Rattus norvegicus: one gene and its partners. The protein of the gene in region 6 purifies or fractionates together with the protein of the main gene of each other region. This does not show direct contact. Links are inferred from orthologs where the notes say so. Each region holds a gene or a part of one and is shown on either strand. Other genes may lie near its edges.

What was found.
Region 1: the proteins of Tnks1bp1 (region 6) and Cnot7 purify together in Homo sapiens (affinity purification with mass spectrometry; 4 studies listed by BioGRID and IntAct, counting the BioPlex papers as one, with this or other methods). This does not show direct contact. The link is inferred for Rattus norvegicus from reciprocal best matches to the Homo sapiens genes TNKS1BP1 and CNOT7.
Region 2: the proteins of Tnks1bp1 (region 6) and Cnot2 purify together in Homo sapiens (affinity purification with mass spectrometry; 5 studies listed by BioGRID and IntAct, with this or other methods). This does not show direct contact. The link is inferred for Rattus norvegicus from reciprocal best matches to the Homo sapiens genes TNKS1BP1 and CNOT2.
Region 3: the proteins of Tnks1bp1 (region 6) and Capzb purify together in Homo sapiens (co-immunoprecipitation; 5 studies listed by BioGRID and IntAct, with this or other methods). This does not show direct contact. The link is inferred for Rattus norvegicus from reciprocal best matches to the Homo sapiens genes TNKS1BP1 and CAPZB.
Region 4: the proteins of Tnks1bp1 (region 6) and Cnot10 purify together in Homo sapiens (affinity purification with mass spectrometry; 4 studies listed by BioGRID and IntAct, with this or other methods). This does not show direct contact. The link is inferred for Rattus norvegicus from reciprocal best matches to the Homo sapiens genes TNKS1BP1 and CNOT10.
Region 5: the proteins of Tnks1bp1 (region 6) and Cnot11 purify together in Homo sapiens (affinity purification with mass spectrometry; 5 studies listed by BioGRID and IntAct, counting the BioPlex papers as one, with this or other methods). This does not show direct contact. The link is inferred for Rattus norvegicus from reciprocal best matches to the Homo sapiens genes TNKS1BP1 and CNOT11.
Region 7: the proteins of Tnks1bp1 (region 6) and Fhl2 purify together in Homo sapiens (affinity purification with mass spectrometry; 3 studies listed by BioGRID and IntAct, with this or other methods). This does not show direct contact. The link is inferred for Rattus norvegicus from reciprocal best matches to the Homo sapiens genes TNKS1BP1 and FHL2.

The regions. Positions count from the first base shown.
Region 1 is NC_086034.1:58,491,968-58,496,103, reverse strand, and holds part of Cnot7 (CCR4-NOT transcription complex subunit 7), read right to left. Parts: intron 1,555-4,136; coding exon 1,444-1,554; intron 1-1,443. UniProt on the Homo sapiens protein: Has 3'-5' poly(A) exoribonuclease activity for synthetic poly(A) RNA substrate. Its function seems to be partially redundant with that of CNOT8.
Region 2 is NC_086025.1:54,031,049-54,035,184, reverse strand, and holds part of Cnot2 (CCR4-NOT transcription complex subunit 2), read left to right. Parts: intron 1-747; coding exon 748-827; intron 828-3,168; coding exon 3,169-3,294; intron 3,295-4,136. UniProt on the Homo sapiens protein: Component of the CCR4-NOT complex which is one of the major cellular mRNA deadenylases and is linked to various cellular processes including bulk mRNA degradation, miRNA-mediated repression, translational repression during translational initiation and general transcription regulation.
Region 3 is NC_086023.1:156,780,989-156,785,124, forward strand, and holds part of Capzb (F-actin-capping protein subunit beta), read left to right. Parts: intron 1-3,218; coding exon 3,219-3,340; intron 3,341-4,136. UniProt on the Homo sapiens protein: F-actin-capping proteins bind in a Ca(2+)-independent manner to the fast growing ends of actin filaments (barbed end) thereby blocking the exchange of subunits at these ends.
Region 4 is NC_086026.1:123,205,194-123,209,921, reverse strand, and holds the start of Cnot10 (CCR4-NOT transcription complex subunit 10), read left to right. Parts: upstream 1-1,754; 5' UTR 1,755-1,879; coding exon 1,880-1,901; intron 1,902-3,692; exon of another isoform or gene 3,693-4,728. UniProt on the Homo sapiens protein: Component of the CCR4-NOT complex which is one of the major cellular mRNA deadenylases and is linked to various cellular processes including bulk mRNA degradation, miRNA-mediated repression, translational repression during translational initiation and general transcription regulation.
Region 5 is NC_086027.1:49,308,739-49,313,661, forward strand, and holds the start of Cnot11 (CCR4-NOT transcription complex subunit 11), read left to right. Parts: upstream 1-1,885; 5' UTR 1,886-1,957; coding exon 1,958-2,453; exon of another isoform or gene 2,454-2,616; coding exon of another isoform or gene 2,617-2,707; intron 2,708-3,425; coding exon 3,426-3,590; intron 3,591-4,243; coding exon 4,244-4,396; intron 4,397-4,923. UniProt on the Homo sapiens protein: Component of the CCR4-NOT complex which is one of the major cellular mRNA deadenylases and is linked to various cellular processes including bulk mRNA degradation, miRNA-mediated repression, translational repression during translational initiation and general transcription regulation.
Region 6 is NC_086021.1:90,544,888-90,549,023, forward strand, and holds part of Tnks1bp1 (182 kDa tankyrase-1-binding protein), read left to right. Parts: coding exon 1-92; intron 93-1,059; coding exon 1,060-1,675; intron 1,676-3,300; coding exon 3,301-3,370; intron 3,371-4,136.
Region 7 is NC_086027.1:52,884,858-52,888,993, reverse strand, and holds part of Fhl2 (four and a half LIM domains protein 2), read left to right. Parts: intron 1-452; coding exon 453-622; intron 623-3,302; coding exon 3,303-3,489; intron 3,490-4,136. UniProt on the Homo sapiens protein: May function as a molecular transmitter linking various signaling pathways to transcriptional regulation. Negatively regulates the transcriptional repressor E4F1 and may function in cell growth.

The DNA of each region.
Region 1 (4,136 bases), on a different chromosome or scaffold from region 6:
TTAAGTCTAAGTGCAAGGCTGAATTGATTAAAATTAACCAAACCCTAAACATGTTATAGATAGTAAACACCTGAACATTCTCACTACATTGCCAGCCTTGAAGCCAAGGGCAATAAAGCTAACAAACTGGTGCCAGAAACTCACCATTAACTAGCTATAAGGCATTTTTAAAATAAAAATCCAAAAGGTGGTTCTATATTGAAACTAAACAATTTACTTGCGTAAGTGGACAATTCAAGTAACTTCTAAATTGATACTACCTGGCAACACAGATCAAATGCTTTGTATCAATAACATACTTCTACCAAGAGAATACACTCAAAATAATTCCACAGCAAGTATTCTGTAAAAATGTGTTTCTGTAGGTACATTATATACATACATACATACATACATACATACATACATACATACATACATGCATTACATGCATGTGTGTGTGTATGCACATACACACACACACACACATACACATACACGATTTGTACCAAACCAAAATAGGACACAAACACATACACACACTTGTACCAAACAAAAAATAGGATCTATATGTGTGTGTATGTGTCTATAACTAAATATTGTTTTATTACCACCAGTGAGGTAACCGTGATATCTATCACTAGGATGGTTATCTATCCTAAAAACAGACTTCGTTCCACTACACATCACCCTTCTACTCCTATCAATTTTATTCTTGAAGTACTTAATGGGGGAATTCCTGAAATAGCTTTTAATTCAACTATATATCAGACTTTAGAGTTAATTAATACCTATAATTCAAAAAGCCCTTTAAGACTTAGTAAAAACTTTAAGTTCTACTTTATAAAACCCTCAAAGCAAAGAAAGACGAGCAAATCTATTCTCACCACCATTTTCAAGAAAGAGAAGGTACAAACTAAGGAAACTCTGACACACATTCCCTGACTCAGAAGGGCACTTGTGGGGTCTAAGAAAGGCCTCTAGTGGGGTTGGGGATTTAGCTCAGTGGTAGAGCGCTTGCCTAGGAACCGCAAGGCCCTGGGTTCGGACCCCAGCTCCGAAAAAAAGAACCAAAAAAAAAAAAAAAAAAAAAAAAAAAGAAAGGCCTCTAGTGTTCCCTCACTAACTTTCAGCTTAAAGTCACTAGCCTCTGCTCTGTCCATCTAAAAAACAGTATGTTCATATGTACATGACTTCTACAATCACATAATCCTTTATTCTGTAAGCAACGTATTTCAGAATAAAAGAATTTTTTATTCTATAAAGAATTTATTATCTTTCCTTTTTGGATGACATTTCAGGAGGACTTATTTAACACTTTCATTCAAATGTGGTGGATGTAACTTATATAGTACCTCTATTTATATCTTCACTTAGTAGGTTCTTAATGCCCAAAACTTTTGTCATCAGACTTTTAATGTTCTCTACCTAACAACCAAGAAAAAGGCACTGATGTCTTCATACTTCTCTCATTTTGAAAAAGGCCATTCCTGTAAGCAGTGAGTCAGATCCTGCCTGGTGTTGAGGTCCTATCCGCTCCAGCTCTAACTGCTCAGCAACTTCCTGCAGTCCACCCTAGAGGGAAGAACAGTCGCTTGTCAAAGAGAAGACTTTGGGACTGGAACTCACAACTATACATTTAGACACTGACAAAAATATGAATAAGTTTTTAATATGTAAAGATTAACCTTGTAAAGATGGCAAGGGGATTGATAAAATATTAATCTGCAATACATTTGTGGACCATAAAAGCCTTGTTACCAAATATGAAATTCTAATAGGAAAATTTTATCTTAATTATACATTTTAAGGCATGTGACAAGCAAACAATTTTCTACAGATATGGAGGAAGTAGATCAGATTCAGGGTAACAGGTATTAGTCACACTCAGTGTATTGTGCCATCACTCATTAAAAACTCAGTATTGAGTACAGGCATTTCCTTTTAAATATCTAGGCATCCCCTGAAGTATTTACAACTAAATAAAACAAAGACAGCACGAGTGTTCAGACCACTGCTGTCAGTCTGCCACATAATGTTCATTTTCTCAACTAAGAAGAGAATTTTACAGATATAACTCTTTTAGAATGGTTTGCTATGATATGCTTACATTAATATAGCCATGACTGAGAAAAATAAAGAATGTGAAAGGAAAAGAGAAGAAATAAAAGACAGACAGAAGCAGACTACTACCAATCAACGCTCTCCTTAAATTACAAAGGCTTTACTAGCAAGTCAGGCCCTCCGAAGTCCCATCCTAGCTTGATAGGACTTTTGCCCACCAACTACTTCTGTGCTAAACAGCATTGTGTGCACTATGTATCCTTAGCAGCCACTGGTAATACAGACACAGACTAAATGTGAACGACTGGCAGCACCTTATCACTAACATACACTTTCAGTGGGAGCAGCTCACACAGCACACAAGAAAATACTTGATATATTTTTAGGCATTTCTGAATATATAGATGAGTAAAGAGTTAGGACTATTTATGAAAACTATTATCATACCAAGCTGTCAATTAAAAAAACCAAAAACAAAAACGTCAGAGCCAGATCAGACTTAGATTCTCAGCATGCCACCCATCTGTGTAAGCAATCAGAATACTCTGCTGGAGTTCACTTATGAGGAAACCTCAAATGACACAGAATTCTACAACTTTCAGCTGATAGTCTGAAATAATCTTGCAAAGAACTTCTCCCAGTTATATGGCACCACACCTATATTGGAGGCAAACACCTGTGTCCTGCAATTCTCAGTTAATTGTTGAAATCAAAGCTTACACATTCACTTTTCTAAAGCCTAAAGAAACTTGACCAACCTTGGTTTTACTGAAGAGAGGGACAATACTGGCTATAAATACACTTGTTTCCTTAGTTATAATTTAAATATCACACTAAAATCCAGCAACTAAAAACCCACTCACTGTATTGCCAGGGATCCGTTGCCAACTCAGGTGAATTTGCTCTTAAACCGAAGTACTTTAATCAGGAAACATTTATTTTGTTCAAAGGTTAAGAATAAATGGTCACATATTTTAAGTAGTATCAGAATAAGCTGCTATCTATATGGAAACTACATATTTACTATACAGTACTTAAACCTAATCAGTTTTAGCTATGTAAATAATAACATACTTCAACAAGAAACAATAAAGAGTCTCTAGTCAGGAAAACCACGTTAGAACAGTATTGAATGTCGCTGCCCGCTGCTCGTCAACCACAACCTGTATCTTTAGGATAGTTCTGTGTGCTGGGAGTGTGAGCACCGCTGTAATAGGCCCAGTAAGTGTGCTATACCTCATACTTTCGTTTCAGTTCATGATTCTCAATCTGGCATCAATAACAAAAACCTGGCCCTTAGCTTGACTTTTTAAAAAATTTATTCTAGGGGCTAAAGAGTTGGCCCCTAGAGCACTGCTGCTGTGGAGGACCAAGTTCCTAGCACCCACTGCAGCTAACGAGTACCCATGACTCAGTTCCAGAGGAGTCTAGCGCTCTCCTCTAGCCTCTGCTACCTCTTACTATGAACGTCCACAGAATGTGTGTGTATATAAAATATATTTAATGTAATTAATATATTAATCAACCTTATTCTGGGCTGGAAAGATGGCTCCGCAGGTTAGAACACTTGATGTTCTTGCAGAGGACCCAGGTTCAGCTCAAGCACAGCATGGTGGTTCACAACCATCCATAACTACAATTGTAGGGGACTGGATACCCTCTTCTCATGTCCTCAGACAGCAGGCACACATTTGGTGCATAGATACACATGCAAACAAAATACCCATATACATAAAATAAAATTTAAAAAATCTATGACAAAACAAAAACCCAACCAATCAAAACATAAACCCAAAACAAACCTTCTCCTGTCAAGATGAACACTGCAGCTTGGAAGAGGGCCGTCTACTACTTAAGAACAACAGGATCAGATAATATAACTGTGTTTAACATGATCTTTAAAACATGGCTTAAAACATTCAGGCCTAAGATATTATAGAAGTTACTTGGTCTAAATCACTGCTTCTCAACCTTCTTAATGCTACGACCCTTTAATACAGTTGTGTTGTGCTGACCCCCAACCATAAAATTATTTTCACTGCTTCTTCATAACTGTGATTTTTCTACTGTTACGAATCATAACATAAATATCT
Region 2 (4,136 bases), on a different chromosome or scaffold from region 6:
TTATCTGGTCTTTTGAATACAGTTTTTTTTTTGTTTTGCTTATGTTTGTACAAAAAGTAGTTATTTATAATTATTTGCAGAAATCAAGTTACGCATTAATTCAAAAATGGAAGTACTATAGGGAGGTTTTTTTTTCTTTCTGTTAAGTAGATGAAAACTAAGCTCTATTTAAGATATGAGTGATGAGTTTTAGAACACTGAATTCAGTTTTCTAAGTACCTAGTCAGTTTAATTCAGGTCAACTCAACATTTATTGAATACCTTGAAATTTTAACACCAGGGGGCAGAGAATGAATAGGACATAGACTCAGGGGAAAGAATAGTTGGGAAAGACCGGGTTGTAAAGAGAAGGCTTGCACTGAAAAGCAAGCTTTACAAGTCAGGAATGAATGGTTTGGGAGGGAAATCTTAAACCCTACCTGCATACTGTCGAGGTTGGTGCATTTCCCCAACAAGGTAGCTCACTGTCAGCTCTGAATGGATTCTTAATCTCTGTTCTTCAACAGTAATAACCAAGTTTCTTTTTCGGTTTTTAAAATTTATTTGTTTAAATTGTTTCTTTCTTGTTCATTGAAGAATTTTAGAGAATTTTTAAAATTGAAATAAAGATTTTATTCTCAAATTAGCATTGGTTTTGAAACATATTGATGTTTTATATGAGGAGACCCAAAGCATATACTTTTATTTTTCTTCATCTCAAACTTAGTGTTCTTACTGTATATCTAAAATTATTTTCTATGTACCCAGTATGTCTGGATTTGGAATGAACAGGAATCAGGCATTTGGAATGAATAACTCCTTATCAAGTAACATTTTTAATGGAACAGGTAAGCTTACTCTGGAGCTAGCACCCTAATGAAAGTACAGTAGAATTCTGAAATACAAGCAAGTCGGCGCACTGGTCTCTGAATAGCAGCAGGATTTTACTGTTTTAAACAGAATTTAGTTTAGTGGAAAACTGTCAGGGATAGGATTTAAGAAAACATCAGAAAGTAAATGTTTTTTTCCCCAACTTGGCCTTGCACAATTATTATCACAGTTATTTTGTAACATCTAAAGAGAGTAAATACTAATTTGGACCATATTTGTGCCTCAGAATCTTGGGTTTTTTCTTCAAAATGTTTCCTGTCCTTTGCCCTATCACTGAGTGTTAACAAGAGTGTAGACTAGGTTGAATGGTAGGACATTTTGATTTTAGATACATGGATTGAAGAGAATCTGTCAATCGTAGGACGCACTTCATTTTTAAAAATAGCTTTAATGAAAATTTTCACATTTAATCCTTAAGAATTTTGATTCAGTATTATCTATAAGATTGAGCTACCTGGAAACTAACTTGATTTTTGGCAAAAACTAAAGTCTGTTGGTTTCTTTTAGCAACTGCTTTAGCAGGAAATAAACAGGGAGTGAGTGGTAGGTATTGCTGGCTTGCCTTGCCTCTAGGTGCTTTGGTGATGAGAAAATAGTGGTGTTGCCATGGTTATAGGACCAGAGTTAGTGTTCCTGGGCACTCTGTACGTGAAGGTGGCAGTAAGAGGAGAGGTTGTAAGGTAGCATGCATACGCCGCAGGAGAAGACCTAAAGGAAGCCCTGTGGTAGCTGTAGGCTTCTAGCTTCTGCATGTTCTGGTGGCTTGTTGAACAACTGAAGCGGACCAGCCAAGATTAAAACCATTGACAGAATGGAAGTCTATAAGCATTTGAAAATTATAGTTTTCTGGGTGTGACTTTAAAATCCGTCAACCTTCTAATTCTTAAGCAAAGTCCTATACTTGATCACCTTTAAAGAGCACACTTTTCATACCCAGTGTGTGAGGTCTGGCTGCCTCTCACATTGCAATTCAGTGTTTTTATATGCTACTATAAAGTCTCAAAATTTTAAATTCTTGGATTTTATACTGGAAAAATTATTTTCAAGACTTAAGTTTCTAGTTGAAAAATTATAAATTGTTGGTTAAAATATATTCTCACATAATACTTGACATTTAGACATGGAAAGATCTAATGTTATGTATTAAAATTTAATTTTTACTTGAAGAAGTTTATAATTAGTCATAATATGAGAGATACTAACTTATAAATTAATCAGTAAATAAAATTTTAATTTATTTTGCTTTATTGTATTTTTAATGGAAATTAAAAAAATAATTTATGAGAAATGGCTTATCTTGACCTTTATAGTTGTAATTTTAAATTATCACCTTCCTTGGTTTAATAAGTGAACTTACTTATAGAATAGTAGTTATGATGCTTTTAATTGTGAAATTTTTCAGAAAAATCAAAATTAATTGGAAAGCAGCCCTAAATCTATACATGCTTATAAAACAAGGCACAAGATAAAGAAGAATGATTGTATACAGTTAAATTGTAGGTAGAAAATTAAGTGGTTCAAAATTAGAATACAGGTTAAGAACATGAAAGGCTGAGAGAAAAATAATTAAAATAGCCAAAGTAGAGAAGTTGGGTTAAATGTTTATGTCTAATGGTAGCAGTTTAATATAAAACAAATACATACATCTTTATTCCATATATTTATTGAGCGCCTACTGTGTAACAGGCAATATAAAGTTCTGGGTTTTGATCTTTATTCCCCACCTACTCCTGATACTTAGGAGTCCATCCTTGCATGGAGCTAACAAACACATACATGTGTACACATTTTTGTTTCAAACTAAAGTATATATGACAGAAGTCCTCAGGGCTTCCTCTGTTTGCCTCAAAATCTTTCTGGACTTTTGCAAGAGCTAATGTCATCGTATCTTAGAGTTGAAGCTCCCAAGTCATCTAGATCTTGCTCCATCCAGTTTGAATGAAAAGAGCAGTTACAGCTAAACAGTGTAGTTCTTGTTCCCTAAGAAGCACTAAGTTTTATTGCCCTCTTCCAACAGGGGGAAATAATGTACAACTCCTCTCTTTTTCTACATCTCCAGACTTGGGTGTTTTAAGATGCTGGCTGTAGAATGCTTTCCTCAGTTATTAGGGAATTCATTCCATGACACAAAATCAGTCCACAGAATCCACAGTATGTGTGTCCACTGTCATGTGCCTACAACACCACACTGCACTATTAAAGAAGACGACACTGTTGTTTCCAGTGAGATGTTTGGCTTTTGTGTGTCATTGTAGATGTTTGTGGAATCAGTAACAAGTATTATCTCTTATCATTTAGATGGCAGTGAAAATGTGACAGGATTGGACCTTTCAGATTTCCCAGCATTAGCAGACCGGAATAGAAGGGAAGGAAGTGGCAACCCAACTCCATTAATAAACCCCTTGGCTGGAAGAGCCCCTTACGGTAATTCATATTCTTAGTGATGGCCAACTAAAGGTTACAGTCATGTGTACTACACACATGCGTGTTTATGTGTGCATGCTTGTATGCATTTATGTTTCAAACCAGGTTAGCTCTATTTTGTCAGAAATCTTAATTTGAAAATTGGTTTTTCTTTCCATATATCTACAATAGCAAAATTGAGTAGTAAACTTTAGTACAGAAATCTAAGTACTTGATTTCATTGCTATTCAAAAGTTATTTCTTCTATTCTATGTGCCTTAATTTATTATATGTGATTGGTTTTGTGACTTGGCTTTTGTTAGTTGCCTCCCCCTCCCCTTTAAGAGAATATATCCCTGGTGACTAATAATAACTGCGTTGAGATCTCTCTCTGAGTGAAGAGGTCTCCTGAGTCACACTGGGGCCTGGAAGACTCATGTCAGGAGGAGGGTAGTCTGAGGGCACTTATTCAGATAGGACATTTATCAACGCTAATGACCGCTGTGTGCAGCACTGGCTATCCTGCCATCCATGTGGCACACGTTTCTGCATACTGGCAAATGCCCTCTTGAAAAGCCTGTGAGAACCAGTGCTTATGATTCTGTATTTCTGTAGATTCTTGGCTATGATTAATAACCCAGTCACTCTTTTTTACAGTCTATAAGTTAAGAGATTCGGGTAGTAGAGCCTGAATAACAATGTTAAGAAAAGCATTTGCAGTGACAGTATAACAACGGAGACAGAAACATTTGTGATGTCAGCATAGCTAGATTGTTGTTACTCGTGGATGAGATCTGATAGAGGCTGGGATCGAGGCAATGATTAGATGAATTTCTTCATCAGTTATTTTAAAATGGAGCTAA
Region 3 (4,136 bases), on a different chromosome or scaffold from region 6:
TGATTGATTGGCTCTCAGACCTGAGCAGCCTCTTTTCTCTGGTATGCGCTCAGGCAAAGACCCTATGCCTACTCCCCTGGGACCCAAGCTTAGATTGAGAGCCCTCTGCAGCCGACAGGACATGGTGCTTGCCTAGGGGGTCCCCTCATGACTCCCTGGGCACAGCGTTGACCCGGGAGATGGACACAGGCAGGGAAGAATAGGCCCTGCTGGTGGTGTTAGGATAGCCAGCTCAGGAGCAGTCACAGTCCTTGTGCCATCCGTCCATGGGACTCCTGGGGAGAAATGGGAGTCTGGGGTGGGGCTGAAGGAGACATCGGAAACGTGGTGGAGTTTTAGATTGAACAAATAAAGAGCTGTCCTGTGTAATTAATATTCGAGGCATGGTCAGACTGGAATGGTCTTCCTTGTGAATCTGAAATTCACATTTAACTCAGCAGCCTACAGTTTCTGTACCACCAACTCTCAGTGGGGAGGGTTTTTATACAAACTAGCATGTTGAAGAGACAGCTAGTAGGCCAGTGTTGGGAAGGTGGAGGGTGGGCAGGATGGGGGGCAGGACTGACACATGGTGTGTATACACACACACACACACACAAACAGCAGGACTGATACATGGTACACACACACACACAGAGCAGGACTGACACATGGTACACAGACACACACACACACATGCACACACACACACATGCACACACGCACACACGCACTCACGCACAAGCGTCTGGGGCAGCTGCCATACTGTATAGTCTGTACTTGTTTCCAGTGACAAGCATAGTGTCCTTACTCCAGACCAGATTGTCTTTGATCAGAAGAGGAACTGATGCAAACAGAACTTAAAAGTATGGCCCACATTCAGAACGTGTCTTTCAGGGACCTGAGCAGTCAGAGCCAGCCAGCCGTGACCCATCCTAGGTACTTGTGTGCTCTCAGGCACATCCTGTGTCCTGCAAGATCTCTGTAGCTTTCCACGGTGTGCTGCCACGGTGGGGCTCAGTTGAGTGTGTGTTCTTCTGTGGTTGCTAGGGACTTGTGGGCTTGCACAGTCCAGGGTCAGCCCTTCAGGGTGCCTCGTCTCCGTGGTTTGCCTGGTTCTGTCTTCCTGTCGTTGCCGTGGAAGGCTGGGCTTGGGCTTCAGTGTGGTGTGAGGTTATTTGTTCCTTTTGCTGCTTACTTGAGACTCTGAGAATTGAACTGAGGACCTCATGCACAGCAGGCAAGCACTCTACCACTAAATCATCTTCCCAGATGTCTAGTTCCTCTTAACTCAAGGTCTTAAGTATTCGAGTATGCTTGAAACTCACTCTACAACCCAGCCAGTCTTTGGTCTTAGGATCCTCCTGCCTCAGCCTTCCAAGTATTTAGGCTTACAGAACTGTGCCACCAGGCCTGGTCACAGTGATGTGGAACTCATGGACTCAAATCTTTGTCTTCTCTCAGCCTCCTAAGCTTCTAGGATTACCAGTGTACATAACCGTGCCAGCTAGAAATGGAGCCTCTCCTGGCAGCTCCCATTGTCTTGCCAGCTTGGCTGGCGAAGGAGCTCTGTCTTCCCAAGCATCCCTCAGCATCTGCCATCAGAAGCAGCAAGGTGCACTGAGGTACAGAGGGCTGGAACTGCTACCCAGTATTAGCAGACAGCCAATAGAGTCCACACAAAGAGGACTTGACAACTGCATGAAGACCCCAGTAGCAGCCCAGTGGCTCGAATGGATCCTTGGTGGCAGGCTACAGCACGAAGGGTAGCACACAGCTGCCAGAGTCATTTCACTGGGCCAAAAAAATACAGCAAGTGCCTCAGACCCAGCTAGGGTGTCCCAGGTGGAGGACCTAGCTATAACTGAGCTGCAGTGGGGGCTGGGAGGAGCTTGGTACCATTGCTGCTCACTGTCCTTAGGGACCAGAGTGACAGGCTGAAGGAGCTTGGGAGTCACCTAGCCCAGGATTGGATTTCTGTATTCCCTGCTGACTGTTGATGTGAGTCTTGGGCAGCTTTAATGACTCGGTCTCAGCTCTGTAATCTAGAAGTCCTTGGTTACCCACTTCATGCCCTAGTCTGAGCGTTTAGGCCAAGAGCATACTTTGTGATACCTGGCTTCACGTCCCACAGGCATTTAGAGGTAACAGAGAGGGGTGTCGCCAAAGCTAACTTTGGAAATGACCTTGCCTGTTGGTTGGGTGAGTGCACAGGTGCATGTGGACCAGGTTCTGAAGACAAGCACACCATGCTTGGGCTGGAGGTGTATGCTTCTCCTTGGGGACCGATGTATGTGTAAGAGTTGGACCATCCCATGGAGCAAGAGGTGCTTCAGTGCCAGGTAGCACTTTGTACACTGGACTGTGATGTGGATGGTAGCATGCAGCGTCAGAGCCTGGTTGTCCTAGTAGTGCTGGCCTTTGGGAGGGACACGTGATCTGAGCTGCATGGCCCCCTCTGTTAGCAGCCCCTCTTCTGGTAAATGATGAGGCTCTGAGATGAGAAAGTCAGGACGCGGAGACAGTGTAGAAATGACTCGAACAGAAAAGCATCCACTCTGCCAGGATCCCCTCCTGGAGACCAATGTTTGTGTTGGGAGGAGGCAGCCCTGGTCTGCTCCCCCAAAGGCTGTGGTAGGAATTGATTGACAGCACCTTATGACTTGTTCCAGCCCACCAAGCTGGGCCACCAAGCTGTTTGCCCTCCGCTCTACAGGTGAGTGGACTGTGCTCTGTGTGGAAAGCGTGTGGACATCCACCTCTGTAACAGACACAGCCGGCTAGGAACGGCCTGGTAATGCTTGGCCTGAGGCCTGGAAAGAGCTGGAAACTCCACCCGGCCGGCATGGGAGCCTGTGGGAGTTCTCCAGAGCCCCGTTATTCTTTGAGTTCTTCACATTCCTGTGTATTTGAAGTGTTTGCCTTCTTCTCAGAGCCTGAGCTGGTATTTTGTCCACCAGAGACCAATACCCAGCACACACATCCTCATACTCACAGACCACCCTGGTGGTCAGGTAATTAAAGCCACACCCGGCTTTGGAAAGACTGCGTTGGAAGTCACGCTCCACAACATCTCATGGCCAGGTTTCTTTATAGAGAAACATGGTTGGTGTTGGGCATATGTGGAGAGTAACAGACAGATTCCGAATTTTGGCAGGGCACTACAAGCCAGATGTTAACCTGGTCCTGAATTGGGGGTTATTTTAATGACATTTCTCCATGTCCTCTCTTTCTGCCAGGTCCCCAGTCTGTGTGAAGATCTCCTGTCTTCTGTTGACCAGCCCCTGAAAATTGCCAGAGACAAGGTGGTGGGCAAGGACTACCTTTTGTGTGACTACAACAGAGACGGGGACTCCTATAGGTGAGCTCCCACATTGTAGCGCTCACCTCACAGCATGGGTAGCCCATCCACACATCTGTTTGTCCTTCTTTCTCCTCCTCTCAGCTGTCCATCTGACCCACTAACGGGCATGTGTGGGTACCTTCCTTGAGCATCAGAGAGAAGAAGGTCTTGGTGCCGTACAGTCTAATGGAAGAGCCGTGTGGTTTCAGGGTCAGCTGCCCCGATAGGGTGGTGCGTCCTTCCTTCCTTCCCTTCTCTTTTCCTTTGCCATCACCATGTGGCCAGTTGACATTGGTCCCTACCCAGGAAAACACGTCTAGTAGCTGATGAGTAGCTGTGCTGTGATGCAGACAGTCAGTTCAAAGCTGGCTGGGGGCCTTAGAGGAGCCTAGAAGAATCTGTGGTCCAACTCCAGAATGACATGGTGTAGGACATGGTCCTGGGTTAGATGTTTTTAATAGACTAACTATCTATTTTGAGATGGTCCCACTATATATCCATCCCTTGCTGGCCTGGAACTCCCTTTGTAGACCAGACTGGCCTCAAATGCATAGAAGTCCTCATGCCTCTGTCTCCCGGGTTCTGGGATTAAAGACCTGTGCCAACACACTTGGGATCATTTGTTTCAAGTTTCCCAGTGTGAGAATCCCAGAACACCGCAGGACTTCCTGGGGATGAGCACACTGGGTTTGGGCTTATTAGAGACCACACTACCAGGGTTCTTTTTGGAGAAACAGGGAAGGGGACCAGGAAGAGCAGTATGGACTCTCAACCAGCACTGTTCCTACTGGGAGCAATGAGACTTTGGCAGTGC
Region 4 (4,728 bases), on a different chromosome or scaffold from region 6:
GGAAATCAAATTCAGGTCATCAGGCTTAGTGGCAGGTATTTACCCTCTGACCTATTTTGATGGTGTTTGACTTATTTTTAAAAATAAAAATTAAAAAAAAAAAAAAAAAAAGGGCTGGAGAGATGGCTCAGCGGTTAAGAGCACCCGACTGCTCTTCCAGAGGTCATGAGTTCAATTCCCAGCAACCACATGGTGGCTCACAACCATCTGTAAAGAGATCCGATGCCCTCTTCTGGTGTATCTGAAGACAGCTACAGTGTACTTATAATAAATAAATAAATAAATAAATAAATAAATAAATAAATAAATAAATCTTTAAAAAAAAATAAAAAAAAATAAAAATTTCCGAATCTTATGAGGAGTACCTGGTGTGATGGTTACTTTACAATTCAGTGCTGTTGCTGTTGTCATTTATATATGACGTTCCCCTCCCTCAAAAGCCTCTAAATAGGAGGCCAGGACCCCAGTCTTTGCGAGTGGTAATAGGATTCCACCAGTTTGGAACTATCCTTAGATTCACCCACTAGCAGAGTCGTAATTTGATGCATCATTAGGAAGCAATGGAAAATAAGGACATGGAGCCCAGTGGGAGTAAGAATCTCAGTGGAATGTGCCCTTGGAGGCTCTTTCTTCTTCCAGTTTCCTCTGCTTCTAGCCACCAGGAAGTCAACAACTTTACTCTATAACTTGTGCCCTGGCACAATGCACTGCTTCACCAAGGGCCCCAAAACAATGGAACCAAGTGACCCGGGACTGAAAATTCTGATACCTGAGGCAAAAATCCATTCTTCCTCACTTAAATTCTCCTTCAGGGTATTTATCACAGAAGCAAAAAGTCTAACACAAATGCCTCTGGTGTCTGTTTCCCTCCATGATCTGAACCTCTGTTATTATAAATACTGGTTATTCCCTAGAAGGGAAAGGAAGGATGGAGTACGTGCTTCTGGAACCCAAGGCTGAGGTCATTGAACAAAACCAGAACCAGTTCAGGGATAAATCCTTTGCTTTATCCAAAGACTGCAGCAAGGATACATAGAGAGACTCTGTCTCAAAAAATTAATCAAACAAAAATCTGTCAAGATATATGGCTGGAGATGCCTGGGTCGTTAAGGATGGGTATTGTTTTTGCAGAGTTCTTGAACATGAATCTAAACCATTGTGCTTAGTAATAGTGATGCACCAAGCTGATGTCTTAGATGTGACCTACATAAGTTAACTGTTGCAGGATTCGCAACCAGAGAAACCGGATGCATAATGCAGGAACTCTGAATTTTCCAACTTGGCTACAAATAACAAAATGGCTGAGACTTTTTTTTAAAAAAGGCTTTTATATGGGGGGGTGGCCTCTAATAACATCTCCCTCATCCTCATTGTTGTGGAAAATCGGTGAAATAGTACAGGCCATGTGAGATTAAGCGATTAGCGTATAGACATCAGGTGTGATACCCGTCATTTTGGTGAAATGCGGAACAAAATGCCCTTCCCCTTCCGTGTTTCACTCAGGACCTGCACTAATACACTTCCGGCTTTGCACAAGGACCCGCTTCCGGGGCCGCGGCTAGCCCTAATTCCCACGCCCAGCTGGCCTTCCAGCTGGCCCCGCCCCGGAAGTACTGTCTTCCTTGGGCGCTACAGAACGGAAGCCGTGGATGGCGGGGAAAACAGTCCTCCACTGGCGGATGTGTTGGTGCTGTTGCTAGACGACGAACAGTGAGTTCGTCACTTCCTCAGCCCGTGGCCCGCCCAGGACCGAACCAGAGGCGACCGAAGCCGGCTTGAGTTGAAGAGTTTTCCCCCGCCTACAGGACCCGCCACCAGCCCGGCGGCGGGAGTCAGGGCCACGCCACCTGCAGGGAAGAACTCGAGCCGAGGCGGGAAGATGGCTGCAGACAAGCCTGCAGGTGAGGCGCCCGCGCCGCGACCCAGGGGCTGACACACTGCGCGCGGAGATGGCAGGGCCCGCGTGGGGGACTCCAGGGCCACTTGACTTCACTCGTATATTTCTGCCCCTCACTCTTCTCAGCTGTCCCTACTGTGAGTCCTGTGGGTTTTCTACTGTGACCCGTCTCGATGCCACTGCAGACCATCCTTGCCTTGCTCTCCAAGATAATTCTGCCCCAGAAAGCTCAAATTTGTCACGCCGCTTTCCAGAGGCATCAGGGGAAGGTCTTCCCGAGCTTACACGGTTGCCGTAAGGTCCCCAGGCTCAGCCACTGAAAGTTCCCTCTGGTCAGCGTGTCCTGTGGAATCCTTCTGAAAACCGTTTAAATAGACGTGACGTTTAAGTGTGTCTTCTGCCTGCTGTCACTTAACCTTGTTCGCCATTTGATTTTTCTCTAGCTACTCAAGATTAACTTCTTTTTTTAAAAAAAAATCTTGGGGTTGGGGATTTAGCTCAGTGGTAGAGCGCTTGCCTAGCAAGCGGAAGGCCCTGGGTTCGGTCCCCAGCTCCGAAAAAAAGAAAAAAGAAAAAAAAAAAGAAAAGAAAAGAAAAAGAAAAAAATCTTAATTATGTGTGTGAGTACAGGTGCCTTCAGAGACCCGAAGAGGACGTTGTGTCTACAGGAGCTGGAGTTACACAGTTGTGGGCCACCACCTGTGGGTGCTGGGGACCTACTTTTGTCCTCTGCAAGAGCAGCAAGTGCTGTTAATGGCTAAGCCATCTTCTTTCCAGCTCCAAGATTAAGTTCTTAATCTCTAGGGTTTTCTGTGGTGCCCCCTCGGGAATTTTTCCCCTTGGGGAATTATAAATTTCTAGCCCACTCATTACCTGGAAAGTCTGCTTTATTTCTTTGAAGAAATTAATACTCTGTGCTAGCTGCCCTGGGAGTTTCCAGGGGCTTCGATTGTCTTCACTGCCTGTCCCTCTCACTGGGAATGCCACTGTGTCTGGGCTCTGACGATCTAGACTCGGGGTAAGACTGAGCATGTTTACCCATCAGGCTATCTCCCGGTCTCTCACTGCTCTTCATCTTTTTTCTAAATAGTCATCGTGTGTGCTGCTTTCCTCTCTATAGACTTTCCAAGATTGTCTCACTGGTTAGCCGCTGAGCCCTTACTCTTTAATATGGTTTACGAGCTTTCAAAATTGGGTCCTCTGTAGGAGCAGTAATCCTCCACCCCTGAGACATCTCTCCAGCAGCTGCTTGTTAATTTTCTTATTGTACATTGTCTGTCTGCCTGTCTGTCTATCAGAACACAATCCTTAATACACGTCTGGAGGTCAGAGACTACCTGTGGGAGTCAGTACTCTCCTACCAATTCTCTCCTTCCAAGAACTGAACTTGGGCTTGGTGCCTGAGAAGCCTTTTTGAGCCTCAGTGTCCCTTTGTGTACAGTAAGCATGCTGACAGTGTCTTTCTCCTAGAGCTAGTGAAGGCTCAAGTGACATCAGCTGTGGCTTGGTTTTGGTTGGTTTGTTTTTATACTTTTTCTTTTTTTTTTTTTTTTGGTTCTTTTTTTCGGAGCTGGGGATCAAACCCAGGGCCTTGCGCTTCTTAGGCAAGCGCTCTACCACTGAGCTAAATCCCCAACCCCGTTTTTATACTTTTTGAGACAAGGTCTCTCTAATAGCTTTGGCTGGCCTTTAAGATTTTCTATTCAGGGGGCTGGGGATTTAGCTCAGTGGTGGAGCGCTTACCTAGGAAGCGCAAGGCCCTGGGTTCGGTCCCCAGCTCCGAAAAAAAGAACCAAAAAAAAAAAAAAAGATTTTCTATTCAGACCAGCCTAACTTCAAATTCTCAGGAACCCATCTGCCTTTGCCTCCCAAGGGCTGGAATTTTAAAGGCATGCACCACCATGCCCAGCCTTTTGTAATTTTTGCTGTTGGTGGTAGTGGTGAGTTTGGGTTTTTGTTGTTGTTTTGTTTGTTTGTTTGCTGTTTTTCAAGACAAGGTTTCTCTTGAAGCCCTGGCTGTTAAAGAAACTCCCTCTGTAGACCAGGTAGCCTCAAACACAAGAAATCCACCTGCTGGGCTGGAGAGATGGCTCAGCAGTTAAGAGCACCCGACTGCTCTTCCAGAGGTCCTGAGTTCAATTCCCAGCAACCACATGGTGGCTCACAACCATCTGTAAGGAGATCCGATGCCCTCTTCTGGTGTATCTGAAGACAGCTACAGTGTACTTATATATAATAAATAAAATAAATCTTTAAAAAAAAAAAAAAAGAAAGAAAGAAAGAAATCCACCTGCTTCTGAGTTCACCTCAGAGGGCTGGGATCAAAGGAATGTGCTGAGGCAGCTGGAAACACCACCACCACCACCACCTGGCCTTTAAATGTCTGCTAAGGGCCTGTGAGATGGTTCAGTGGGTAAAGGTGTTTTCTTTCAAGCCTGACACCCAGAGTCCCATCCCCAGGACCCATGTAGTAGAGGAAAATACTGCCTTTTCCAAGCTGTGTCTGACATACACACTCAAGTAAATAGTAAGCGCCAGCCTGTGTCTCTTTACGGTGATGTTAAAGAGACAGAAGAGACATGTTAAGTTTATTTGGAAAGTGCCAGGGTCTGGGGAGTGAAGGAGAGATAGCAATAAGGGGAGACACGGTATGTTCTGTCCCTGCTATTGATCCACCACCAGCTCTGAGAAGCTGTGGCAGTCACTTCCTGTGCAAGGTTTTTTCATGGAGCCTCAGCCAGGGCCACACAGCCTCTAGAAGCAGTTTTTGAAAGTAACACATAGGGAGGAGAAAGGAGGCGTGTGTGTGTGTGTGTGTGTGTGTGTGTGTG
Region 5 (4,923 bases), on a different chromosome or scaffold from region 6:
AAACTTAGAGGAGACATGACTGAAGGAAAGAAATAAAAAGGAGAGGACATGACTGCTCCTAGGTATTGTGGGGAGAAAGTTTATTGTAGATAAAAGGTTGAGTGTAGGTAGAGGCAGGGACGTCCAGAGTGGACATGACTAGACTGAGCTGGACCTTGTGGGGAGAGGGGGAGACCATGTGCAGCAATCAGGAGTCTAAAGGGACAAAGGAACTGGTAATCAAAATGTCTGGATTCTAGAGGGAAGAGCCTGTGCTGGAAGGGGAGTTCACGGTAGAGAGGGGGTATGCCAGCCATGTCCAGTTAGGGAGGAACTGAGGGATGCTGGGGGAAGCCAGCAGCCAGGTCAGCTTTGATATGTTAACGTTAAGTTTGAAACTTAATAACAATTAGGGGCACCTAACAAAAGAAGCTTTAACCTAAGGGGGGTCGGGGGCTTTGGATAAATGCCAGAAGCTAGTACAAGACTAGGAAGGATTCTCCCCTTGAGGCTTCAGAGGTGGACTGCAGAGCTGATAACTCCAGACTTGCAGCCTCAGGAAGGGAGAGGAAGTCAGCTTCTACTGTGAAAATGTGCTCTGTTTGTGGGGATAGCATAGAAGTCCTAGAAACAAACTGATTGGAAACATAAAGAAGCTCTTGGTACCGTGTTAACCTTGATGAAAATCAGCTCTATTTGGGGCTAGTATTGCTGTGCTCAAATACCTCCAAACATCTTGAAGCACCCATACTATACCAACATTTAAGTTACTAATTAATAATAATTTACAACAATAACTAGCTTGAGTGGGTTTTAGTATTGTAGAGTAGTTGTCATAGAGCATACAATCAATGTAAAAGGGCTCAAAGAGAACGTAGTTGATTAATAATAATAATAGAGGTATTTTGAATCATTTCCCCCGTTTGCCAAGTTATATTTTCTGCTGATTGTAACGTTCATTGGCAGAATCCCTCCACACGTTTAACGGCAAACTAAACAATGCGCCATACTCAACACCCGTTCCTCAAAATTTCCTTAAGGATTTTAGCCGGTAAATAGAAAATTCTTGAACTGTTTGCCATTTTTAGCACAGGGTAGCTAGCAGGTGATGCTGATGACATTCCGTTGGTTTCTGTAATTCTAGAGTGGGTACTAGTCACCACCCAGAGCATGGGAGTGGGGAGCAGGTAGTGGTGTCTGGGACCTGGACCAAGAGGTTGGTACAAAAGAAGTTTCCCAGGGCTAGAGAGATGGCTCAGCGGTTAAGAGCATTGACTGCTCTTCCAGGGGTTCTGAGTTCAAATCCCAGCAACCACATAGTGGCTCACAGTCATCTGTAATGTAAGTTTCCAGGGTTTTCCAGTATTCAGCCAAGGTGGCCAGAAAAAGAGCCCTAGGGCAGGCTAAGAAAAATGAAGTACTACAAACGACTTTGAAAACGAGTTTTTCTTGAGACACTTTCTCGGATTTTTGTTTCTTTCTTATTGATTGATTGAGACAGGGTCTGTCAGTGTAGACCAAGCTGGCCTCAAACTCACAGGGGTTCGTCTGCCTCTACCTTCTTGGTGCCGGTAATCTCACCATGAGCCATCAAGGATGTTATATCGGACAAGATAGACCTATTTTTCAAATTATAACTTAGGTACGATCGACTGGGATAGCTTGGCGCCACCCGCCACTCTAGGATCGCTTCCATGGGGCTTTAACCACAGTTTACCACAGTTTACATTACTGAGTCCACGCGTCCCCGCCCTCCGCGGCGCCCCGCCCACTTCCGGGCACAGTGCCCCGCCCACTCGCGTTCCCGGAACCTCGGCTTGGCCCGGCTTTGCGCTGTTTCTCCGTTCCGCTCGCCTTACTTACGCGCTGTTTTGTTTGCGACGCTGTCGCAGAAGGGTGCGCTTTACGGCCGCGGGGGGACGCAGCGAGCCGGCGCCAGGGCCTTTCGGCCGGGAAGCAGGATAGGCGGGCGAGGTTGATGCCCGGTGGCGGGGCGAGCACGGCGTCTGGCCGGCTTCTCTCAGCGGATCCAAGAGGGGCGCGGGAGGCGGCGGCGTTCCGGAGTGGCCCGGCGGGCTCGAGCGGAGGCCGAGGCGGAGCAGGTGGCCCCGGGTCAGGGAGTGGAGGCCCCGCGGGCAGGATGAGCCTGACCCCGAAGGAGCTCTCGAGCCTGCTGAGCATCATCTCGGAGGAGGCAGGCGGCGGCAGCACCTTCGAGGGCCTGTCCACCGCCTTCCACCACTACTTTAGCAAGGCCGACCACTTCCGCCTGGGCTCGGTGCTGGTGATGCTGCTGCAGCAACCGGACCTGCTGCCCAGCGCCGCGCAGCGCCTCACGGCGCTCTACCTTCTCTGGGAGATGTACCGCACCGAGCCGCTCGCCGCTAACCCGTTCGCAGCCAGCTTCGCGCACCTGCTCAACCCGGCGCCGCCAGCCCGGGGCGGACAGGAGCCCGATCGGCCCCCGCTCTCAGGTACGACCCGCAGCCTGCTGTTCTGTGGGAGCTCGTCGGCTGGGAACATATTCGGCTTCCTCAGAGAGGATCGACCCTCCCTCCCTTTCCATACTTTGTTCCACTAAAATGGGGGTGGGTAGTCAGAAGTTGCAAGCTTCTTTTCAAACTCACTGCACCCCAGATGATCCCTCCCAATCGAAAAAGCCAACGCATCGAACAAGCCCACCGATGGTCTGGACTTATTTTAAGTATGTCAGATACGGTTCGTTCAGGTAAGGTCCTGAGGTATGCGGAGTAGCCAATGGCAGAGTCCACCCCCTTTTTAAAGCCTCTGAGTAAAGAAGTCGATATTAAGAACCTGAAGAAGTGGCAGGTTGAGATCCGCATTATACAACATCTAAAGTCTTTGCAGCCGCCTCCCTCCTTCCTTGGTCTGCTGTAATGTCATGGGAGCAGAGGATGAAGTTGTTTCTAATTAACCGTTCCAAGATGCATGTATGTGTCCCGGGCAATACTGTGGAATGTTTACTATTGCAGCATTGCAAAGATCGGGCACAGGTTTACATCTGAGGATGCTCCCCTAACTTATGTACCGAGGATGGAACCCAGGGTCACTTCCTCTATACCACGAGCCTAGCCCAGGACTCTGGTACAGCTGTACTCCCAGTCACAGGCTGCATTTCAGAAAGCTACCATATTGTAGTTTTTAGCCTTTGCAGGACTCAAAGTATTTGATAACCACAAGTTTCACTGACGTCTCCATAGGTCCACATTGTCTCAAGTGATATATTTGTTTATGGACTAATATGAGTATACTAAATGTACATATTCGATTACCTGGAACTCAGTTACATTTAGTTCATAGAAACGAAACGGCTCACAGTGTGGCGAGCAGGAAACAGCTAAGTGTCAAGTTAACTGTTAAAGTTAAGTTTTGAAAATTTAAAAGTAGCCTTTGTCGAGAAATCGGCATGTATTTTTTGTTTGCAGGGTTTCTGCCTCCTATAACTCCGCCAGAAAAGTTCTTTCTTTCCCAGCTCATGCTGGCACCCCCGAGGGAGCTGTTCAAAAAGACACCTCGCCAGATTGCACTCATGGATGTCGGAAACATGGGGCAGTCTGTGGATATTAGTGGCCTTCAGTTAGCCCTGGCAGGTAAGGAAGGGCCAGAGACTGGGACATTCTTATTGGTCCTTGAGATTCTCTACTTAAAAAAAAAAAAAATTAAGATTTTTTATATATATAATTTACACTTTTGCTTGTTTTTGTTTGATCCTCTCTCATCCTGCCCTGGCCTCCCTGCCTTGTCAACCCTCCCCCCCCTTTTGTTTGTTTGTTTTGAGACCTGGTGGGTTTCTTTGTGTAGCCTTGGCTGTCCTGAAATGTGCTGTGCAGCCCATGCTGGCCTCTAACTGAGCTCTTGCTGGCTGACCAGCTCCCACCTTGATTACACCTTTGTATCCTAGTACCCTCCTTCATTCTCCTTTCCGTTTCCTTTTTCTGTGTGCATCTGACCCCAACCTGGCCTCAGTCTCACACCTCCCTGCCGTCCATCCACCTCCCTCTATCTTTTCTTTTGGGGTTATTTTACTATTATTATTGTTTGGTTTATAGGATTTAAAGATATTTACTTTGTACCCCATTCTGTTCCTGGTGTTCTCAGTTTTAAAATGTTCTCTCTCCCCTGTCCCTGCCCCCAGTTTCAAATGCCAGGGCTGGCCTTGGATGCTTGATTTTTGTGTCTACCTTCCAGGTATGGATCACAGGGCTTAAGTGCTTTAAATGCTCCTTGTCTGAATCTGTTCCAGAGCGTCAGTCTGAGCTGCCAACCCAGAGCAAAGCTAGCTTCCCAAGCATCCTCAGTGACCCGGACCCGGACTCCTCTAACTCTGCGTTTGACAGCTCAGTTGCCTCTCGGATCACAGAGTCTTTAGTCAGCGGACCCAAGCCGCCCATCGAAAGTAGGTGTCTGTCCAGACCACCTACTGAAAGTAGGTGTGTGTGTGAGCCAGCTTTATTTTCTCAGGTTTACAGTCCAGCAGCATTCTGGAGTCCTAAGGTTCTGTGGTATCCGTTCACTGATAACAGACTTCCTGCCTTGCCATCTAGAGTATAGCAAACACCAGCCACTAGTTCTACACTAGGATGTTTATTACTTGTTTGATATACATATATGTGTGTGTGTACACATACATATACGTATACATACACACACATATACACCTGTATACATACATAATGTGTATACATATATGCCTGCCTGCAGATAGAAGTTCAGATTTTACAAAAGTGAATGTTCTTGTTTTAATGAAACAGTCTTATGTACTGTAGAGTAGCCTTAAAAATTTCTATGTAGCTGAGGGTGACCTAAAAGTCCTGGTCCTCATACTTCTGTCTCCCAAGTGCTATGGTGACTGAGATGGCCATGTCTGGCTTTGTTTGTTTACAGTGTTTGGGTTCAAACCCAGGAGTGTTTGTGTAAAAGGAA
Region 6 (4,136 bases):
GAAAGGATCCACTCTCAGGGAAAGCACGGCCGTGGCTTCCCCACTGCCCCAGGATATGGAGGAGGAGCAGGCGCCCGTTGGCTCAGAGCCAGGTACCAATGGGTGACGGGTGTAGGGTGGGGCCGTGCCTGGGAGGAGGGCGGGGAAGGTAGAGGCTGCACCCCTATTCTGTCCCGGCAGGTAGTTGAGTGACAGTTGAGGTGAGAGGCAGTGAGTCTGAAATGAGTGCTGAAGGGCCTTGGTGACTGGTGGGGGTGAGGTAGATGTGCAGCTGGTTTGAGACAGGTCCAGGGACTCTTCGAGAAGGAGACACCGAGGCACAGAAGGAGAAATGGAGTGCACTTCTTTCTCCCTGTCTAGACTTTTTAAATGCTTAGCTGAATGAGTGGGTGATACAAGATTCTATTATAGAAGGTTGTGGCCGTGAGTAATTCCCAAGGTCTTTTATGTGGCATTACAATGCCTTATATAGAAGGTAGATTTCCGCCCTTGATTTTTTTTTCTTCCTTCCTGTGGGAGATTTACTTCTGTTTGACATAGGTCAATAGAGAGTCTGCATTCCTGATAACGAACTGGATGACAGAGGTGGCCTGGGAGTGTGCGAGAGGAGGGGCAGCAGGGAGACAAGGGGAGCTCAGCTAGGATAGAAACTTCCTATGGAAATGTGGTATATAGGGTTGTATAAAGGAATAGGGTAAATTGGGTACCCAGGCTGACTGCATGGCGGGCCAGGCGGATGGAGATGCTTATTCATTCACTCCATTCGATAGGAAGGAACCTCTGTTAGCAGCAAAATCGGATGCTAGAGGAATAAGGTGCCAGAGCACCCACACATAACCCTCGCTTTTAACTGGTAAATGTTATAGGAGTTTGGAGAAGGTAGGCTATATAATGAGTGTGAGAAATCAAGGACCGCTTCATGGAACAGGGGGTACTGATTTGCACCTAGAAGGATGGGTTCCAAAGTTTGAGTGTGGAAGATTTGGTGCAGCAGGAGTCCCAAGAATTTATGTTTCACAATTCTCCTGACAGTTCCTAATGAGTCCTTCCTTCTGAAAGGTGACCCACGAGCCAAACCCCCTGTCAAGCCCAAGCCCCGGAGCTTGCCCAGCAAGCCAGCTCTGCCTGCCAAACCCAGCCTTCTGGTGCCTGTTGGGCCTCGTCCTCCTCGGGGTCCCCTGGCTGAGCTGCCTTCTGCCCGGAAGATGAATATGCTGGCAGGACCTCAGCCCTATGGGGTCAGCAAGCGTCCACTCCCATTTACATCAAAGCCTCCAGCTGAGGCAACTGCTGGGGGAGAAGTTACCCAAGAGTCCGGGAAAGAGGACTTGCCCCCTTTAACACCGCCAGCTCGGTGCGCTGCTCTGGGGGGTGTGCGGAAGGCCCCTGCCCCCTTCCGTCCCTCCTCTGAGCGGTTTGCAGCCTGTACAGTAGAAGAAATTTTGGCGAAGATGGAGCAGCCTCGGAAAGAGATCCCTGCTAGCCCTGACCGACTCTGGGGGTCCCGCCTCACCTTTAACCACGATGGAAGCTCTCGATATGGCCCTAGGACCTTCGGTGCCTCCTGCCCCAGAGAGGAGGATAATAAGACCCCTGCCAAAGCATCATCCCAGGAGAGGACAGCAGAGACTCCCGCAGAGTGCCAGGAAGAGTGTAGCAAGACTCCTGAGGCGAGGTAAGGGCTAAGAGTTCGTATAGTTCCTGGAAGTCTTGAAGGGGCTATGCAGTAAGTGGCTCCAGTTTGGGGTGTTATCTTTACTGTCAGGTTACTTACGTGAATTCAGGCAAACCCAGGCTAAGTCCCAGAGTATCTCTGTTGCAAATGGTGGTGTTAGTGCTGTGTGTGTGTGTGTGTGTGTGTGTGTGTGTGTGTGTGTGTGTGTGGTGTTAGGAATCGAACCCAGGGCCTTGTTCATGCTAGGCAAGTGCTTTATCATTGAGCTACATCCCCAGCCCTCTATAGCTCTCTTTACAGAGTTGATACATGTTATGCTACAGAGTCATACTGTTCAGTAGACTAGTTTGTAGCCCATTCAGTACATATCTGTGTCCTTTGGAGGAAGGGACAGTTAAGTTCTCTTTAGAGATTGGAAAACCCAGGCTCCAGAGTGACTTCCTAAAGTCTCTCAGTTTAAATCCAGACGCGTATGATTCTAAAACCTGTGCTCTTAACTGCTAAGGTCTCCTGTGGCAGAGCACCATGTGGCCCCCAGGGAGGGGTATGCTGGTATCCGTAGAGTACAGTCTGCCTGTGAGGAGTGTGATGGGCCTCAGCTGATTTCTGCAAAGAGATTTCTTCTGTTCGGAGGCATTTTCCCAGATGCACTTCTTACCCACAGTCGGCCTGTGTGTAAGGGAAGGCCGGCTGGGAGGCGCTTCTTGGGCTAGGAGACACATGGCCTGGAGGGACATGAGGGTTTTGGCCATCTAAGATTTTCAGGGCAAGAAAGCACCAGCCTGAAGAATGCAAAGTTAGGCCTAGTGGTTGCCTTCGCTTGCCCACTGTGAAAGCTAGACCTGTTGTGGTCTGGGCTGAGCTTGGAGCTGAAGGCCCTGCCCTGCCCTGCCCTGCCCTGCCCTGCCCTGCCCTGCCCTACCTTACCCCACCCTCCAGCCTGCCCTTTTCTCACTGGAAACACCTGGTGGTTGTGTTGCACCACCCAGGACCCTGGCTACTGGGAGGCCATCCTGCTTCCCAGCCTGATTCCTCTCTGCATCTATGAAGGGTTCAGTCTTGGAAAATCACCCCCACCCCCACGTCCTTCAGGAAGTACCAGCAGGGCTGCTGGGACCAGTTGCATTCTGGCCAGAGAAGAACTTTAACTCCTCAGGGACTAGGAGAGGAAGCCATTATCTTCTTGGGAACCTCTGAGGGACCTGGACACACATGATGCTGTTCTATGAGAGAGGGGGGTGGGGATTTAACCCTGTGTGGACAGGAAGGGAGTGGATGTCATGTCCTGGGCATTTGCTCTGTGGGCACAGCCTAGCTTCCTTATCCCTAGAGCTTCCAGGCCAACTTCAAGTTCTGAGGTGTTTAATCTTTGGGTGTTGTTAAAATTGCTTGGAAGGGATAACTACCCCCCCCCCTTTTCTAATTTGGGACAGACTTCACCATTCTTTTTGTTTTGTTTTTGTGTTTTGAGGCAAAGTTTCTCTGTATAGAGCCATGGCTATCCTGGACCTCGCTTTGTAAACTCTCAGAAATCAGACTACCTCTGCCTCCCTGGCACTGGAATTAAAGGCATGCGCAACTACACCCATGGCCCAGTTACCTCCCCTTGTCTCTCTTCCTCTCAGGATCCTCACTTCCAGCCTAGCACTGAACGGGGACCTGGCTAAACTGGCTAGCTCTGGACCACCTTCTGAGGTGAGTTGTCTTCATGTTGTGAGTACAGCTGTGTAGAGGGGAGCTGGGCAGTCATCTGAGGTCACCTCTTATTCTCTTAGAGTTTAGATGGGGGAAACTGGCCCACGGACTTGCCCAGGGACCTGCTTTCAAGACTCAGATTTTGTTTTAAATTCCCAGGCTAGTGTGCCTGGTCATTAAGGTAGCTAAGTATGGTTGGTCATGATGATTAGGAACAGTATTTATGATATTCTAGCATTGACCAAGCCTCTACTGTGTGCTGTTGGCATGTTGTAGGGGTATTAGACAATTTAATCCTTTTTGTTATTCTGGCTTTGTTGGCCTCTTTTGAGAGTGCCAAGACCCAGGCTAAGCAACTCTCTTGGCCTGAGGCAGACTTGAAATATCTGACTCTCTAATTCTCCCTGGCTATGCCTAGGTTCAGAAAGGGTAAAGTCTGGACTTCCTATACATTCCCTCGTCTTATGAAGCCTTTGAGCAAAGTATGTCAAAAATGGCCCTTGTTTGGAGAGCCATTGTCAGCTCGAGGCTGTTCCAAGTGCCCTGGAATAGAGATGTGTCTCTATGTATGTGTGTGCTATGCGTTGGAACACCAGAGAACAAAATAAGCATTGCGCATGCTGTAAGGATTTTACTTCCCAAAGGCAGGCAGGCAGACACTAAGATAGACATTCTGTAAACTGGCAGATACACAAGGTGTTGCTGGGAGAACTGGGAAGGTCATGCGCTGGGTGAGGGTAGTGGGAAGTCCTCACTATGTAGGTCA
Region 7 (4,136 bases), on a different chromosome or scaffold from region 6:
ACCATGGGAAGTTAAACCATGTCGTGACCTTCACCAACCCCACCACATAAGGATTAATGAACTGTGCTGAATTTCATCTGTTTTACCATGTGGAAAGGCACTTTACATTTTTTATTTTATTAATTTTTAATCTATTAATTAAATTTATTGATATTTACTTTATTAATTTTATTTCCACTTAACATTCCCAATTTTAATTTAATTTAATTCCCATATTTAGGTAAACATCAAGTACCAACTATGTACCATGTAGTCCTACTATGTTCTAGGACTGCATGTGTAGCATTGAAACAAAAGCAAACTAGCAATTATCTCCAGTTAGAGAGGAGCCTCCGAGAGCAGAGGAGACTTACCGTATCATAACACTAGGTGGTAACGGGCTCTGGAGACGCGTTACCGGGACCTCAGTCAGTCTAACGGCCGCTGCTGCTTTCTCTCGCCTCTGACCACAGGTACCCGCAAGATGGAATACAAGGGCAGCAGCTGGCACGAGACCTGCTTCACCTGTCAGCGCTGCCAGCAGCCCATCGGAACCAAGAGCTTCATACCTAAGGAGAATCAGAACTTCTGCGTGCCCTGCTATGAGAAGCAGTATGCCCTGCAGTGTGTGCAGTGCAAAAAGGTGCTTGGGGTCCCTGGGGGCTTCTTGTCCTTCTCAGCTTCTGTCCCCGGCCCAGCCATCACGAAGGAACACCTGTCATGGCTCTCTGCTATGAGAGCTTGCCCATTCTTGCCTTGAACATCTGTTCTCCTGGGTGTCTGAGTGTTTATCTACCGGGTCTGTGAGCTGGCCTTTTCTTTTTCTTTTTCTCAAAGAGAAAAATTCCGCCTTCAATAACATTTCCAAATGTTATTACCTGATGTCAGAGGGAAGGGAAACTCTCTCTCTTTAGCCTGCCTCTGTTAAGCTGATCTTGAATAAACAAGAACCACAGAGGAGGTCTGCCACGCTCTCCTACACACAGCTCCATGCATGGTGGTGCCTCTAGGGCCTCAATGCTGTTAGGACCTATTCCAGCCTGTTAAGTTAAGCCCTCCCCTCTCCTCACTTCCCTGCTCCACTGCCCTCTGCCACATCTGTGGCCATTCTTTGCTCAGTTCACTCTTGCACTTGTTTCTTCTGGGATCTCTTTCTGCTGTTATGGCCACCTCTTCTGGCTTGGAAACAGTTTGGTCCCTTCCGGCAAGGCTCACTTGATGTGGTAGGGAAAACTCTCATTGGGTTCACCTGTAATGAACTCTGTAAGCAAGGCAGGTAGCACATGGTGAATGCCGTGTTCGTTCATGTATGTTTGATGGCCGTAGAATCTATCCGTGCATATACACAGCAGAAACCTGAGCACTGTTCAGAGGTCGTTTGGCCTTGAGATCAGCTGTACTGCCAGGGCTATAAACCTGTAGGCATCACTACAGACAACACATTGCAACACCATGATAGCAGTTCCTGTGGCTCCTTTGTGGCTCCTTTGAGTCACTTGTCCTGTCACCGGCCCATCAGTGTGGTCCTTTTAGTTGTAAAAGTGCAAAAGGTACAGTTTTGTGGGTCTGTGGCTTTGTATAGGTGCTCCCTAAATACACTGGACCCGTCCCTCCTCAGGCAAGGAAAGAGGTCCTGCAACACCAGGGGTCTGAGGGCGGGCAGGAGAGTGAAAGGCTGGATTTTAATCCAGGTGGAAATGACTCTGTAGCCAGCAGGGTGTCTTGATACATGTGCTGAGCGACAGGACCGATTGGTCACAGAGTCGACAAGAAAATGAACCAGAGGATGGAGGTTGGGGTTGCTGGGGAAGGGAAATCTCTAAGAAAGCCACACTTAAGCTGAAATGAAGCTGAGCTGATGTGGTGCAAAAGGGGGTGGAGGAGGGCGCGAGGAGATGTGGAGGGAGTGGGAGGAAGTGGAAGGTATGAAGAGAGGAGGAGAGGATGAATTAGAGAGGTGAGGTAGAAGGGGTACAGAGAGGGGAGGGAGGAAGTGAGAGGAGGAGTAGGGGAAGGAAAGGAAATGGGGAAGGGGGAGGGAGCGGGGAGGTGGGGGATGGGGAGGAAGTAGGGGAGCATAGGGTGTAGGAGATAGAGGAGAGTAGGGGGGCATGAAGGGTATTAGATCCAGAGCACAGAGGGAGGCCCAGGGGGAACTCCAGGCAGAGTAGACATCACCTCACATACTCATATGCCTCCTGTATCTCCCAGAACAAGGAGACCCAGAATATTTTCCATAAATTCTACTTCTGGGTCAGGGGCGTGACAAATAATTCCTCATGTGTGATTTAATGACAAGAGCACAGGACAGAAGGGAATCCTGAGTCTCCCTGCCTTGTCGTTAGCCGGCTGTGACTTAATTCTTGGGCCAGGCCTGGGTCTCAGTTGCTTCGTCTGCAGCGCAGAAGTAGCAATCTTGCTGCACAAGCTTCATACAGGGCCCTCAGAAACTGCCAAGCACTGCCATACTGTTAAAAGAGTAAAGAGCATTGGGATGCGGCCCGGAGCATTTTCACTCTGTCTGCTGTGGCCACTGCATGTCGAGCTGAGACCCACTTAGACTCCCTGACCTCTGACTCAACTCTCCACCAGGATTTAAATTCATAGGAAAAGCAGTATTTGGAGGTTACTGGATGCAGTTGAGGTGTGGCAAGCCGTTTATCACCTTAGGGCTTCTTTAGAAACCTTCCATGACTCTAAGATAGGGCGGGAATAAAAGGCCCCCCGGGATGCTGGTCCCTTCAGGCCACACCAGCAGATGCTGATTCCAGTTGTCTTTAAGCTTCTGCCTTTCTGCTTCTCTAGTTACCATGCAGACTGAGTGTGGAACTAGACCTGGAGAGGCCACCACTTGCTGGGATTTGAAGGAAGGCCTCCACAGAGATTCATCCCGTTCTCTTTGTCACCCCAACTTTGTAGTTAGAACTGAGGTACTAAGATCTCTAGCCATGCCTTGCCTAAGCTACAGAGCCATTCAGAAGTAGCAGTCGATGCTTTCAGTGTTGTCTCTGACCATGACTTCACCACTGTGCCACCTTCCTATTCGGGAGGGTGACAATACCCCACAGTACCCATACCTTCTGTTCCCTTGCACCTCTGTGAAACCTAAAGACCCAGGATCACTAGGGAGAAAGCCAGGAGCTACAGCAATGGTATGGATGATACCACGAGATGCCTGAGGTATGAGGTTTCCTTACCACTTTAACAAACTGCACCTTCGTTGGGGGTGGGGTGTGTCTTACATCATCATGCACAGGCAACGGCAGTGACAGATGTCTACCAGAATCAGGGGCAGCCCTGACTCTTATACTTGTCTCCTCCAGCCAATTACCACAGGAGGTGTTACTTACCGGGATCAGCCCTGGCACAGGGAGTGCTTTGTGTGCACAGCCTGCAAGAAGCAGCTATCTGGGCAACGCTTCACAGCCCGGGATGAGTTTCCATACTGCCTGACCTGCTTCTGTGACCTGTATGCTAAGAAGTGTGCTGGGTGCACCAACCCCATCAGTGGTAAGTGTCCTGGGAAGGCTATCGCCAGGGCATAGGCTGTCTGCTTCCTGGAGTAGCATGTACACCTAGAGTGGTAGCACGGGTGTGTTAATATCTTGAGGCTCTGAGCCCAACAAGCATTTCTGCCTCTCTGTGGTGCGTCCTTGGAATACAGCTAGTGACTTTCCCTTAACCCTGGTCACGTAGAACCATTGGCCTCCCACTTAGTGTTTCTGCTTGGGTCTGAGTCTACTACAGTCCCATGAACAAAACGATGGTGTATTTCAGCCCCAACAGCGGAACTGGTATTTGAAATACCCATGTCATCTTAGTGCGACTCTTCCAACCACAAACCACGGTTAGATGGCGGTGCATTCTGAGTAGTTTATTCGTAGCACAGTCCCGAGGGAATCTGACGAAGTGAGAACCTAAAATGTGCCTGCCTGGCAGACCGGATCTGGACTGAGCTATTGAGTATGTGGAAGATATTGAAGGTGGAGAGTACTGGCTTCAGACTAAAGCCCTTTGATTGCTCACCATGTACCAATCAGCGGCAGGGGCTGGGGGTGCAAGTATTCTGTCATATGTAGATAGGAGTGTTTCCTGCAGTCCTTGTCCCAACCACATTCATTCAGTCTATCTGGTTTGTTGTTGTTCTTTATTGCTCT